Arabidopsis thaliana: one gene and its partner. The protein of the gene in region 1 interacts with the protein of each later gene in a pairwise test. Each region holds a gene or a part of one and is shown in the gene's direction. Other genes may lie near its edges.

Region 1 (6,710 bases):
CAATATCATATGTTTTTGTGTTCCAACCACTTGTTTCATTCAATAGTACTTGTACCATATTGCGCCAATTGTCCCAAATGGTTTGACCACTTGTACAACTCAAAATCCAAAAAGATAAGAAAATATGAAGATAATCATGAATGAGACATAATTAATACGGTTGGTCCATGAATAGGATCACCGGTCTGGCTTTTTTGTACACCACATATCTTTTCAATCTCTTTTGTTAGATAGAACCATTCACACTGATTTTCACAAAGTCAGAGAGAGACCTTTATCTCAAAAGAATATCTGCTTCTTCATTTATTTTGTTATCCCGTTTGGCTATAAAGCGGCAAAAACATGTTGGCGAGAAATATGAACCACATAACATACGTAGAAGCTTATAGAAAGGGATTATCTATCCAAACTATATATGTAGACCCACCCATCAATTCTTTTTCTCTTCACTAAAATAATTGATTCGTAAAATCTCTTATCTTTTTCCTACTCATGCCAAAGTCACATTTCGAATGAATTTGTACTAACATGGCTACATGTGAAATTTTGCAATTCTAATTAGGTTGAATTGGCCAACAGATTTGAGTTATAGGAAAACAATAGTATTTTGTGGTTATTTAAAAATGATCAACACTTTCAAAAATATTACAACCGTGATATATATTTGTTTAATTTCTTCTATTTTATTTATTTATTTATTTATTTGAATGTTCTCAATCCAAAAAAATAGGTTACATCGATATCACAATATTTGTATACTTATCTTAATGTAAATCTATTTGCAATACATGATTAATATAACATGTCTTGTAAATGTCTACAACATTGAAGTTACATTTGAGAATGAATGAATAACATGTGTTTACAAAATTGAAATTACATAGACAGCTTCATTTAAAAACAAAAATCTTATTTATAATAAACCAAATCTTTTTGTTTCTTCTCAAATAATAAGAAAACATTTTGGCAAAAAAAAACTATATATAATTACATGTATATAATTGAGATTATATAAACTTTGGCTTAAAAATAAATGGATGGTGGTGAAGAAAAGGGAAAATATCACAATGGTTGTCACGTGTCACTTCACACAATCCAGTAGACCAGTACCTAACATCCAGCACCACCAAGCCTAACCATAAACTCCTCAAATGACCTAAAAGGTTTTTTTAACACTTCGTTTCGACACCTGAATTGTTATCTGTTATTTTATCTTTTTCACGTCTTACGCCTCCTAAATCCTAATCGCTTAAATATTTTTTGAACATGTTCTCATCTGTTTTTAAAAAATTTGGATTTTCTTTTCACTAATGATTGTTACATTAGATAAATGTGATTTCCACTACAGGTTTGGATTTTATTGCATTAGAAAATATGGTAATAACAAATATTTTTATAAGAGATGACAAAAACAAATACTCTAAGTAGACAACAGCCACACACCAACCACTTTCTGATATTTGAAACCCTAAGTAAAGAACGAGAAGGAATTCTTGTGGCTGAGAAATTTTGTTGTATTATCAGTGAACGTGAATAAAATGAATAAGAAACAAATAAAAAGAAAACTAGTGGCTAGAACCCTCCTTCTCGTCATTCCACATGTCAAGTTTCTGTAGAACAGACGGCTAAAATAAGAATCAGTGACATGGAGAAAAGTGCACTGACATTCACTAATTATTAGTATTAGTACTATATTATAAATTAAAGTGTAATTACTTTCACTTCCACCGAGGATGACTTTTACAATTTGAGGAGTATATTAAATTATGTGCTTAACAATGATTTCAATAAAATATCTACACATTTGTGAAAATTGATGACGACCTGGACGATGGATAATCATATTAATTCGAGAAAGTTGAAACTAATTATAAATATCATAGATAGATTCGTATCTGTATATATTATATTATATGGTATGTATACGTAGACTTACGTTATGGATAGACCCCCACCATGTTTTTATATAGAGGCAGAAGATATTTAACTTATGGTTTTCGTTTTTTCGTAAAATATGAAACAAAGACAACGACAAAACGAAAAAGAACCAAAAATAGTATCTCATTCTACTTTCACTTGATTTTGGAATTTCATTTATTTAGATTGTGATTCAAAACCATTTCAACTATGTAAAATTCTGTGCAATATTTTTCCCAACTAAACATATAAGTTTGACATGAAAAAGAATATAGGAAAATTTAGAGGTCCAAATTTTATATGTATATCGGAATCATGGTAGGATACGTTATCAATTGCATTTGTATGAGGCTTGCTATTGCTAGTATAGAAGCATCATCAACAAATCTTAATATCAGTCCAAATTTGAATAACCCATTTTGTGGATCTCATTTCATAAAATAAACCATTTTAGTGTCCTGCAAAAATGTGTTTAGACAGAAATCTTTTTTAAAATCTGAATTTAGATATTATGATGGTTATAATTTATATATAAATTTACTATCAAATATTGTGTTCATATATGGAAGAATGGAGAAAAAAGAGTAGAACCCCACAAAATAAAAAATGGATAGACTATGTTTTCTAAGATTGGACAAAGTGTATAATAAAATCTTCTGATCTGGTCCAAAAATAAAATGTTAAGAGTTTTCGAATTCGAATAATTTGATTTTGATTAAGATATCCACTTCGGATATGTTTTCATATGTAGCTTTTTAAAATACCCTAATAAATATTTTCATAAAGAGTTTATGTAAATAAATCAAAATATATTTTTAACTTTTTATTTATTATAGTTTTATATATTACTGTTTTAATTATTTTGAAGTATTTTTGATAGATATGGATTTGGATGGTTCCGCAAACAAATCCTATGGATCCGGATCCAAAGAACCAATCATAAATTTTGGAATATGTCCACCCATATATGGATCAATAGAGATATAGTTAAGAAAAGAAAATGAATTTATCCCGCAAATTTACATTTTTATCTCATGTAGTGGAACCAATGAAAAGCGAGTAAGCTAAGAAGTCATACTCTCGAGAGTACGCCTTTCCATATTTTCCTTTAAAAGTATCTTCTGGTGGCTCACATTTCTCCGTCCAGCAAAATCTTTTTTGTTACATAAATATTATATTTCCTGATATTTTATATTAAAAGATTATCCAATTGAAATGATGTCAAAAAAGGAAAGGAAAAGTAGGGGAATTAAATAAATACATACAGTGATAATCGAAGTACCAAATCTAACTGTTTTAAAACAAGTAGATTCATTTTAAAAAATTAAATATTTGATTTTTCAAAGAGATAAATGAATAAATCTAGTACAAATTTTGTTGCAAAAAAAGAAGATGAAGAATATGAGAAAGAGCGACACGTGGCAAAGATGGACATTGAACGTGAGCCACAAGATTTTCCATCTGTTTCTCGAGCGTTCCATGGAAAACCAATAAGAATTATTATTTTTATTTTTTAAAAATTGGGAAAAAGCGCACATAGCAGAAGCTGACGTGGCATCACCCTCCTTTTTGTCTTCCCTATTTTCTCACCCCCCTAATTCCCTTCTTCCTCCTTCACAGACCCCAAACTCTTCTCTTCTTCTTCTTTCTCTCTGTTTTCTTCTTCTTCCGCCGAATCAGAAAGCTTGTCTTTTTCTTTACTCCGGCTACCAAAACTTCTCGGAGTTTCTCTGAGAGTTTCATTTCCGACCTTCTTCTTATCCTTATTTGCGGCAAGATTTCCAGCGAGAGTTTTTTTCTCTTTTCCTTTATCGAACATAAGAAATCTCTGGTTTGCTGGAAGTTTTTTTTCCGGAAGGTGGAAGCTTAGATTGGTTCTGATTTCAGAAGCAAATCGTTTGTTGTTGCCTAAGTAAACCGAATCAATTTATGGGATCTATAGAAACAGACGGAGAACAGAGGAAATTAAGCTGATTTTTTCAAGTCTAGATTCGCGAATTTATCTTGGTGTTTCCTTTTCTGTGTTCCACACCTTTCGAGTTTTTTTTTGTTTTCCTCCGCCGAGATCTTAATCCGGGAAGTTATGGCGTCGTCTCCGTTGACTGCAAATGTTCAGGTCTGGTCTCAAAATTTGATTTTTATCCACTTTTTTTGTTTTGTTTCTGCTTTATTCAGGTCTGGTCTCAAATGAATCTATGAGTTTAAAATACTGTATACGGACATTTAAGTAATAAAGCTTAGAGTTAAAGCAAGTTCGTTGCAATTCATTTGCAGACTCTTGTTTCTTTTGAGCTATAAGTTCTCTCTAGATTTGTGTGTTGCAACTACATTCATTTGAATCCTTGAGATGGAATCGACTGTGTTGGAATTTTGTGATTAGGATATGTAAATCGAGTTTAATTAGTTGGACTTTGTGAATGAATGTTCATTGAGAAACTGAAGAAGAAAGTAAATAATCCAATGCCACTTTGTGTCATAGTCCTTAAAATGATGTTTCCTAAAGTCGTTTTGCTTGATGATGGCTTTAGGGTACCAACGCTTCTTTGAGGAATAGAGATGAAGAAACTGCAGACAAGCAGATACAATTCAATGACCAAAGTTTTGGGGGAAATGACTATGCACCCAAGGTTTGTTTCTTTTAACATCAAATGTCAAATATTGTTATGTAAAGTGAAGATCTGTGGCTCAGTTCATCTTTTCTTACTTAGGTACGGAAGCCATACACGATAACAAAAGAGAGAGAGAGATGGACAGATGAAGAGCACAAGAAGTTTGTTGAAGCCTTGAAATTATACGGGCGAGCTTGGAGACGAATAGAAGGTAAATTAATGATTTAGTAATATCTCTTGCTACTGAGTTATGGCCTTACCTGGACCCTCAAAAATATATGTTTGTTTCACTAACAGAACATGTGGGCTCAAAGACCGCAGTTCAGATTCGAAGCCATGCTCAGAAGTTTTTCTCTAAGGTTTATACACTTATTTGCTATTATATCTTTACCCTTGTTCAAAGAAAGTATCAGTCTAATCTCTGTAGCAAACCTAAGTTCTGCATAAATAAGGAATCATTATACATACATTGTTTGGAGACTTGTGTTCTGACTTGGCTTTGTTCTGTTGTATTCACACAGGTTGCTCGAGAAGCAACTGGAGGTGATGGGAGCTCAGTAGAGCCGATTGTAATACCTCCTCCTCGTCCCAAGAGAAAGCCAGCGCATCCGTACCCTCGTAAGTTTGGGAACGAGGCAGATCAAACAAGTAGATCGGTTTCTCCCTCAGAACGTGATACTCAATCTCCAACCTCTGTGTTGTCCACTGTTGGATCAGAAGCATTGTGTTCCCTTGATTCGAGTTCACCCAATCGAAGCTTGTCCCCAGTTTCTTCTGCATCACCACCAGCTGCTCTTACAACCACTGCAAATGCACCTGAAGAGCTTGAGACTCTGGTACTTGACATAAACAAAACCGAATTTATACTTAACAGCAATACCTGCTGTTAGATGCTTAATGCTTAATATTCTTGGTTTAATCAATTTGTACAGAAGCTGGAGTTGTTTCCTAGTGAGAGACTCTTAAACAGGGAGAGCTCGATCAAGGAACCAACGAAGCAAAGTCTTAAACTCTTTGGGAAGACAGTTTTGGTATCTGATTCAGGCATGTCCTCTTCTCTAACAACTTCAACATATTGTAAATCCCCAATTCAGCCATTACCACGGAAACTCTCATCATCCAAGACACTACCCATAATAAGAAACTCACAAGAAGAACTCTTGAGCTGCTGGATACAAGTCCCTCTTAAGCAAGAAGATGTGGAAAATAGATGTTTGGATTCAGGAAAGGCTGTCCAAAACGAAGGATCATCGACTGGATCAAACACTGGTTCGGTGGATGATACGGGACACACGGAAAAGACCACAGAACCCGAAACAATGCTATGTCAATGGGAGTTTAAACCAAGTGAGAGGTCTGCATTTTCTGAGCTCAGAAGAACAAACTCCGAGTCAAATTCAAGAGGATTTGGTCCATACAAGAAGAGAAAGATGGTAACAGAAGAAGAAGAGCATGAGATTCATCTCCACTTATAACACATTTTCTTACGTACCCTAAAGAAGAGACTTTAAATTTACTATTCATTCGACTTTCTAAGTTTTCATCAATGTAATTTTTGTTGTTGTTTCATTGTTTTCTCTTGAGGTGTTTGTTCTCTAGGCTAAAATTTTCTGCAAAAGTTTGTAACTGTAAAACTCGTGTACAATTTATACAGTTAAATCTAATGATTATGAGATCTTTCTTAATTGATGGTTCAACAAAAGCAAGTTTCAGGTGTCTCTCTTCAATATCTCCGATTAAATTAGGTTTGGTAAAGAGTTTGCTTTGAAATGAAGGCAAAGAAGAAAAACAGTGAGGTTACCACCAACTGAACAAGTGTGTGTTCAAAGTTCAAACCCAACAAATAACCGAACCGATTCGGAAACCAACTCTAACCTGAAATTTTGATAGAATTTGACCAGACCAAATTAGACCGGTTAACACCCTTTCACGTTAGCCACCAACAGATTAAGCAGTGTCTAACGTACGCCTTATTAATACCACATAAAGACGCAAGAGAAGATGACGTCATACAGAAACAGCGTCGTTTTGAAAGCTGAGTTTTTTTTGTGAAGCGAGCGAGCGTGAGAAGGTGTGACGGGGAAGAGAATGGCGAAGGAAGCGGTCAAGTATGTATGGGAAGGAGCAATTCCTCTGCAGATTCATCTCCACAAATCCGACGTCGCTTCTCACCCTGCTCCTCCT
Region 2 (7,833 bases), 750 kb from region 1:
CACGGCAAAGCACGGACCGTAGGACCATTGAAATGCGATTTCAAATAAAAAGATTTGAAAGCATGTGATCCATCACATGGATATTGATTATTACTGTCTAACAAAATAAACTTGTAGATCGTGTCCAGTTGTTCTTCAAACACATGCGTATAGAAAATGTATAACATTTTGTTATTAATGTTACAAGAAATAAAAGATAATGATCATCCATCATTCATGATGTCATCTTGTTCACACTTGCACAAACCTAATAAGTTATATACAAGACATTTTTCTAGTTTGGTTAGATTAGGTTTCTTTTCCAAAAACCGAACTATCAACTTTTTTTTGTGTCAAAATTTTCAAAAATTAAATAAAATTGACTGTCTAAAAAATCACAAAAGACTATGCAAATTTCTCTTTAGTAATATATCAATTTTGATCCAAATGAAAATGTAGGGGTCGTTATGTAAACAAATGAAAACATGAGGACCCTCCGGGCGTGTATAGTTCACACTTGACAAATAGGGGTTTTGGAGTTAGGCCCTTCCATCCTAATCGCGCTTCCGTCGCCGACGCCATTTTACTCGCCGTCGTCATCTCCGGCCACGCTTGTCATCGTTCGCAATTAATCGAAATCGAAATTTTCCGGTAAGTATCCTCCTTTCTTATTACCGTATCATTCGAGAGTTGGAATCGGATCGGAAATGTAATTGGTTTTGAGGTCAATAGGTTAATACGTTTGTGACAATGGTGGAGTTTCGAGTGTGAATGAAAAAACTCCATTTGCTCGAGAAGATTTGATGAAATGGTTTGTATAGTATTGATTTGATTCTACTTGAATGATTAATGTTTGAATTGCTCTTTGTTGCTTGCAGATTCCTGAAAAAAATGAATTTCTTAAACTCAGCAGCATCCATTTGCAGAAGAGTTAGTTTGAGGGAACTGATCACTGAGGTTCCTGCTTATAGTGGCAGTAGCATTTCCGGTATAGATTTGCGCTTTTCAAAATCTATATTTTGATGATCTTAACTAGTTAACTCATTTGTGTAATTGTTGCTGTTGTTCTTGTTTTGGGGATGTTAAAGATGGTTCTTCAAGTGGCTTGAGTTTGGTCTTCAAGCGTTGGGCTACTAAGAAAACTGCTGGTTCTACAAAGAACGGTCGTGACTCTAATCCCAAGTTTCTCGGTGTTAAGAAATTCGGAGGAGAGGTAAGAAAATAAATAACAAGCGAGATAAGATTTTGATAATCAAATCAGTCTTGGTCTGTGTGAAGAAAATAATGTTTGCCTGTGTGTGTGTGTGATTTTGCAGAGTGTGATACCAGGAAACATCATAGTTCGTCAACGGGGAACTCGGTTTCATCCTGGAGACTATGTGGGGATTGGTAAGGACCATACTCTGTTTGCATTGAAGGAAGGACGAGTCAGGTTCGAGAAAAGCAAGATTACAGGACGCAAATGGATTCATGTTGATCCAACAGGTGGTCATGTTCTTCACCCTATCTACACAAAAGCTGCAGCTGCTCAATCGACTAAGTTGAAGACAGCTTCATAGTCGTGAATACTGATTGCAACAATCTAAACGTGGTTTTCATTTCCTTTAGATCATGTGATCTCTCGAGTAAAAGATGATGCTATCTTAGAGCAGAACCACTCAATTCAATAACATCTGCTGTTTTGTTTCCCTCTAGTCTTTGTCTGGATTTTGATGAAGGGCTTTGTTTGGATTCAACAAATCAAGTTTTATTCGGAAATAGATGTTAATCAAGTCTGAGTTTCTCTCATATGTGTTACGCAAAACAGACAAGTAACAGTCTGAGATAATGTTTTCCCGGCCCGTTATAAACTCATCGAATAATGGGCCAACATTCTAAGCCTCAGGCTCTGGCCCGTCAACGCGGCTAGATCCGTTCATTGAATCAGAAACATATTTATCCTATCGGGTTTAAAATTTCAATTAAAATTTCAAACATAAATTTCTCTCATATTATCATATATGGACGAACCAGCTTTGTTTTTGGCATAATGTGAAATCAAGAGCCAACTTGTTTTAGCCATTAAAGTTTCCTCAAATACTTCTCAAGTTGCCATGCACATCAATATTTAGTTTTTGAATTATTATTTTCTTGTAATTTTACACATTCCTATTCAAAAACAATACAATTAAAATAAAATCATTTCGTTTATAACACAAAAAAAGGAAGAAGAAGATGTCATTGTTTTTTTCTTTATTCACAAATCTTAAGAACAGTCCATATTAATGCATACTAACCACCCATGCGATACATTCATCGTATATGATAAATCCTTCCAATTGCATTTGCACACATACATAAAGTAGGATATGTGTATATATAAAACATATACAGGCATAACATATAATAGATTTTAGAAAGAAAGAAAAAATCACAGATAGATCATCAAATAATTGCGTCAGATAATATATCCTGAAAAAAAAAAACTAATTAATATTATCCTTGTTATGGGCATAAAGCTTATTTAATGTCGGTTTGCCTTATTCTTCCTAACTAAAGAGTAAAAAGCCTTATAACTATTTCTAAAACAATAATATATGTGTTATATTATTTTGTTGTCTATGAAATCTATAGATAATCGTAGTGCGGTAACAATAAGACCAATCAACAATCAAGTTATATCTAAATGCTTGAAATGTTGATACGGTGGTTCCCTATTTTGGCTATGGTAAGTCGTGCAAGTCGTAATATATACCTACATTAATTAAAGTATAATGTTAAAGTTCAATGTATTTGAGAAGAAGAGAATTGTCTTCCATAACAGACGAACATGGTTTGATTAGGTAGCGCCATGTTGCAAGATATGTACGCGTGTTAGCTGTTTTTGGTATTTAGACAATTTCATATCATCATTAGTCAAAAGAAAGAAAAAGTTTTAAGAGTTGAGATTTACAATTACGTTACTACTATAAGAAAACAGACGACATTTTAGAAACCCGTTAAAATTCAAAATTTTGACGGAGAATTCAACCGTTGGATTTAGAGCATCAAAATTAAAACTTCCATAAAATTTGTCTGAATTTTTTGATAAAATTTATCGGTCATATTTTAGCAAATCTCCTAAAAAAATTGGTATACTATCAATTATTTATGGAGTTTTTGCTTTGAATTGTTAGTTTATCACTTATTATTAGTAATGGATTTGCAAACGATCTTAGGTTTGGTCTACACCTCTCTGATTAAAGACTTTTTTATACAGCTTTAAAGAAGTTTGGAGTAAACGGCATCGTTCTTCACCACTGCTCGTGTCAGCTTTTTTAGTTGTGGTCTCCTTTTCTTAAGGCCACTTTAACCGTCAACATGTATAGTCAATAAACATTTTTGAGTTAATTAGTGGAGTAGTTGAGAAGTAAATAAATTAAGCTAGTCATAGTTTTTTTTGCAAAAATTTGGTAGTAGAGTAACTTTTAAGATTGTAAGTTGATAGTTTTTTCGACATAAGATTGAAGACAAACCATGAACTATAAAACTAGGGAAGGTCGAGATTTTAACATTTTTGGATAAACATTGCTTTTGATCAACAATACGAAATATTAACTTTTGTCTTTAGTTAACATCATTGAATCAACAACCCGAATCAACCTTAATTATATTCATGCTTTACTTCCACACGAAATTTTCAGCTTAAATAAGGAGAAAAAAAAATAAAAAAAAATAACGAGAAATAATAATAATTGAAATTTGAAAGGTAGCAAAAAAGATTAATATTGATATAAAATTGGAGTATATATTATTAAAGTTGTCAACGTCATGGAGATACAAATTTAGCAAAAAGAAAAAGACATGACTCACATTAGATGCTGTTCTATGAACTCTATTTATTAGCCTATATTTATTACACTTATCTTTTTTCATTAACCCTAGATGGGGTCAACAAACCATGGTTAAAAAAAAATATTCAACCAAAAAAAAAAAAACACATAATGATTATGAATCTCAACCACACAACTTGGATTTCTCATTATCAACAGTCTTCAACTTCTCATCTCTTTCTTCCTCCATGAGAGACTTGAGTAAATAATACATAGTTTTAAATTTCCCCTTTTCTAATCTTATCTCTCCCAAATACATAAACCCATCCCAAAGATTTCGAGTTTACAATTTAAAAACAGTTTTGTTTAGTGCAATCTTTACCTTATCTTTACTTCTATCATCTATTCTTCTTCTTCCTCCATCTCTAGAAAATTATAATACTTCTTGTTTCTTAAATCTTATTTGTATTACAATAACCAAAACCCAAGTTTACAAAACATTTCTTCTTCTTGTTTTTCGAAACCCTAAATGTTTTGAGTTGTCATGGATGTAATAGCTACTACAACTACTATAGTATCCGACTTGGATTCACGACAACCCGAAATCGAAGCTCCGATCCGGATCCAGCCCGCGAAGCCTATTTCTTTCTCAAACGGCAAACGCTGCCACCACCATCATCTTGCATCTGAAGCGGTTGCGGTTGCGACTTATAAAGAATGTCTAAAGAATCACGCAGCAGGTATCGGCGGTCACGCTTTAGACGGATGCGGCGAGTTTATGCCGTCACCGTCGTTTAACTCCAATGACCCCGCTTCACTAACGTGCGCTGCTTGTGGTTGCCACCGTAACTTCCACCGCCGTGAGGAGGATCCATCTTCTCTCTCTGCCATCGTCCCTGCGATCGAATTTCGACCTCACAACCGTCACCAGCTTCCTCCACCGCCTCCTCCTCATCTGGCGGGGATTCGTAGTCCAGACGACGATGATTCAGCTTCTCCACCGCCGATCTCGTCTTCTTACATGCTTCTCGCACTCTCTGGAGGAAGAGGAGGAGCTAACACGGCGGTTCCAATGTCTAGGAAACGTTTTAGGACGAAGTTTAGTCAGTATCAGAAGGAGAAGATGTTCGAGTTCTCGGAGAGAGTTGGGTGGAGGATGCCGAAAGCTGATGACGTGGTGGTTAAGGAGTTTTGTCGGGAGATTGGAGTTGATAAAAGCGTTTTCAAAGTGTGGATGCATAACAACAAGATTTCAGGACGCAGCGGCGCTAGAAGAGCTAACGGCGGAGTAGTAGTAGGAGGAGTAGGAGATAGTCGTCAGAGTGTTGTTCCGACAAATGGGTCGTTTTCTTCGACGTGAGGAAAAGAATGGAAAGCGTTGAAAAAGCGTCGTCGTTTTAGAGGCTAATTCTTTTTTGGTTTTTCTTCTCTGTGTTTTGAAGATTTTTTATTTTTAGTCAACGGGTCAAAATCTTTTTTCTATTCCACTTTGTTTTGTTATGTCTTGTAGTTTGTACTCTTGTTAGTAGTTTATCTTTGTTAGAGAGGTGATTTGAGTTGTATCTTTCGACCAAATGTGAGAAGAAAGATAAATGAGTAACCTCCTAAAACCGAATAACAAAGTCAATTAATCCAATTGTTTTCTAAATTCTATATCAGTTTGCTTTTTTATTTTTACTTTTTTTCTTTATATAGAAATTTATGAAAGAAATGAGGGAATTTGTTGCAATTATGTGACATTACTAGATTTTTAACCCGCGGTATACCGCAAGGACAATTTTTTTTTTTTTAAGTTAGTATATATAAAAGTTTACAAATTGTATCTATCTATAAAATATTTTTATTTTATAGTTTACAATTGTTATTAAGTAAAAAAAACTATTTATTTTATTAATGTTGATCTTATTTATGATATGTTTATAAATCATTGTCTAAATATTTTGTAATTTTGTAATAATTAACTGCTATAAAATATCTATGTGGGTTGATGCGTATAATGGAATTGTTATAGTCATGCAAAAAAAGCAATATCAAAAATGATAATTTTGTAATTTTTAAATGATGTTAAATATTTTAGAAGTTTTATTTTAGTAACTAATCGTGTAGTTATTGTAGAGAGATTTTGAGAAGATAGTTAAATGTCAAATATTTAATTCGAAAATTTACTTTCTAATTATCAAAAATAATTATTAAATGCCAGTGACAACCACTGTAAATAAGTCTCAACTTGAAGATTTATTTCATATAGTGGCTGCAAAAATGTATATGTAGATAACTCAAAAACATGAAAACACAGTTACTATTTTGTGTGTTTATTTTCGATGCTAGTAGTTAACACCTGTTTGTTTATTTGTTGAAATGGTAAAAGATACAACTAAGAGTTGGTAAGATTAGGCACTACGTTAGGTTAATATGATTGGAGACACCACTCACTTATAATATATTCTTGCTGTTCTATTAAGGCAAGACTGGTAAAACATCTCAACAAAATATTGCAATTATTTGTTTTTACGATATAATCTTTTTTTTTTCATCAACTTTTTTAATGATATAATCTAAATGCCAAAAGACATGTAAAATGACATTTTTTTTTTTGTTCAAATGACATTTCTAGGTACCACTATTCAGTGCATAAAAATAATTTTATGATTAAGAAAATAAATTCGAGCCCAAGCGCAAGACTCAAAAATAAATCGACATCTCAAAACGGGCCCAATATAAAGCCATAATTCGTAAAGGCCCAATATAAAGCCTTAATTCGTAAAGGCCCAATAAAGAAAGTGAGAGTGTAGCGTTAGGGTTTTAAGAAATCCTATAAATTAGTTCATTCGTCTCTTTCGTTCCTCTCTGCGTGCCCTAGTTATTCAGATCGCCGAATTTGCAGTAAGGAGACGAAAATATGGTGCACGTTTGCTACTACCGCAACTGTAAGCTTCTTCTCTCCTTTTCGTCGTTTATATCACAGCTCATTTTCGATTCGATCTACGTAGTGATTTCTCTCAATATCAAATGATAGATTAGGGATTATCTGAGGTTTTTGATTGTGTTATATATATAGATTGTGAATCTGGGTTGTTGTAACTTTTGAGGTTTTAGTTTCTGAAATGAATCAATCTTAGATACGAGCCTCAAAGATCTAACCTTTATGCTGATAATTTTGTATGAATGTGTGTGTTTGTTGTTGAATAGATGGAAAGACCTTCAAGGGACCACGTCGTCCTTACGAGAAGGAGCGTCTTGATTCTGAATTGAAGCTGGTTGGTGAGTATGGTCTGCGTAACAAGCGTGAGCTCTGGAGAGTGCAGTACTCTCTTAGCCGTATCCGTAATGCTGCTAGAGATCTTTTGACTCTTGATGAGAAGAGTCCAAGAAGGATCTTTGAAGGTGAGGCTTTGCTCCGTAGGATGAACCGTTACGGGCTTCTTGATGAGAGCCAGAACAAGCTCGATTACGTCTTGGCTTTGACTGTTGAGAACTTTCTTGAGCGTCGTCTTCAGACTATTGTGTTCAAGTCTGGTATGGCTAAGTCTATCCATCACTCTCGTGTCCTCATCAGGCAGAGGCATATCAGGTATTGCATCTCTTCGATTTATTTGTGCTTGTGTATGAATTATCTTTGTTATATCAATTGATAGGATCTGAAATGAAATTAACATTTTCTCTGTTTCCATTTCATGATTATCTTTGAATGATTCGGCTTTGTGTTACACTTCTTTAAACACTGTCTCTTTGGTCTAACAGATTGTAGTCTTTCATGAGTTTGTACTGTCTTTTGGTTTGATCTTTCTTCAAACGTTTTATTGGTTGCTCTTAAGTTCACGCAAGTCTTGATAACTTGTGCCTCTTGAGTGGCTTAATATGAAGTGTGTTTTGATATGATCTTAAAAATTGGGTACTCATATTTGTTTCGGGTGTTGTTGTAGGGTTGGAAAGCAATTGGTGAACATTCCATCATTCATGGTGAGACTTGATTCACAGAAGCACATTGACTTTGCCCTCACCAGTCCCTTCGGTGGTGGCCGTCCAGGAAGAGTGAAGAGAAGGAACGAGAAGTCTGCCTCCA

What was found. Proteins that work in one complex are often made in the same cells at the same time.
Region 2: the proteins of RVE1 (region 1) and HB30 interact in a two-hybrid assay, tested with the Arabidopsis thaliana proteins (one large-scale study listed by BioGRID).

The regions. Positions count from the first base shown.
Region 1 is NC_003076.8:5,689,726-5,696,435, reverse strand, and holds RVE1 (Homeodomain-like superfamily protein), read left to right. Parts: upstream 1-3,443; 5' UTR 3,444-3,511; coding exon of another isoform or gene 3,512-3,736; 5' UTR 3,737-4,000; coding exon 4,001-4,033; intron 4,034-4,445; coding exon 4,446-4,544; intron 4,545-4,625; coding exon 4,626-4,737; exon of another isoform or gene 4,738-4,804; coding exon of another isoform or gene 4,805-4,823; coding exon 4,824-4,885; intron 4,886-5,047; coding exon 5,048-5,362; intron 5,363-5,458; coding exon 5,459-6,001; 3' UTR 6,002-6,210; downstream 6,211-6,710. Other genes in the region: AT5G17305 (uncharacterized protein), read right to left, coding at 3,512-3,736; autophagy protein Apg5 family, read left to right, coding at 6,615-6,710. UniProt on the Arabidopsis thaliana protein: Morning-phased transcription factor integrating the circadian clock and auxin pathways. Binds to the evening element (EE) of promoters. Does not act within the central clock, but regulates free auxin levels in a time-of-day specific manner.
Region 2 is NC_003076.8:4,935,171-4,943,003, reverse strand, and holds HB30 (homeobox protein 30), read left to right. Parts: upstream 1-3,796; 5' UTR 3,797-4,314; coding exon 4,315-5,130; 3' UTR 5,131-5,539; downstream 5,540-7,833. Other genes in the region: AT5G15220 (Ribosomal protein L27 family protein), read left to right, coding at 871-967, 1,068-1,192, 1,296-1,538; AT5G15200 (Ribosomal protein S4), read left to right, coding at 6,670-6,697, 6,960-7,341, 7,694-7,833. UniProt on the Arabidopsis thaliana protein: Putative transcription factor.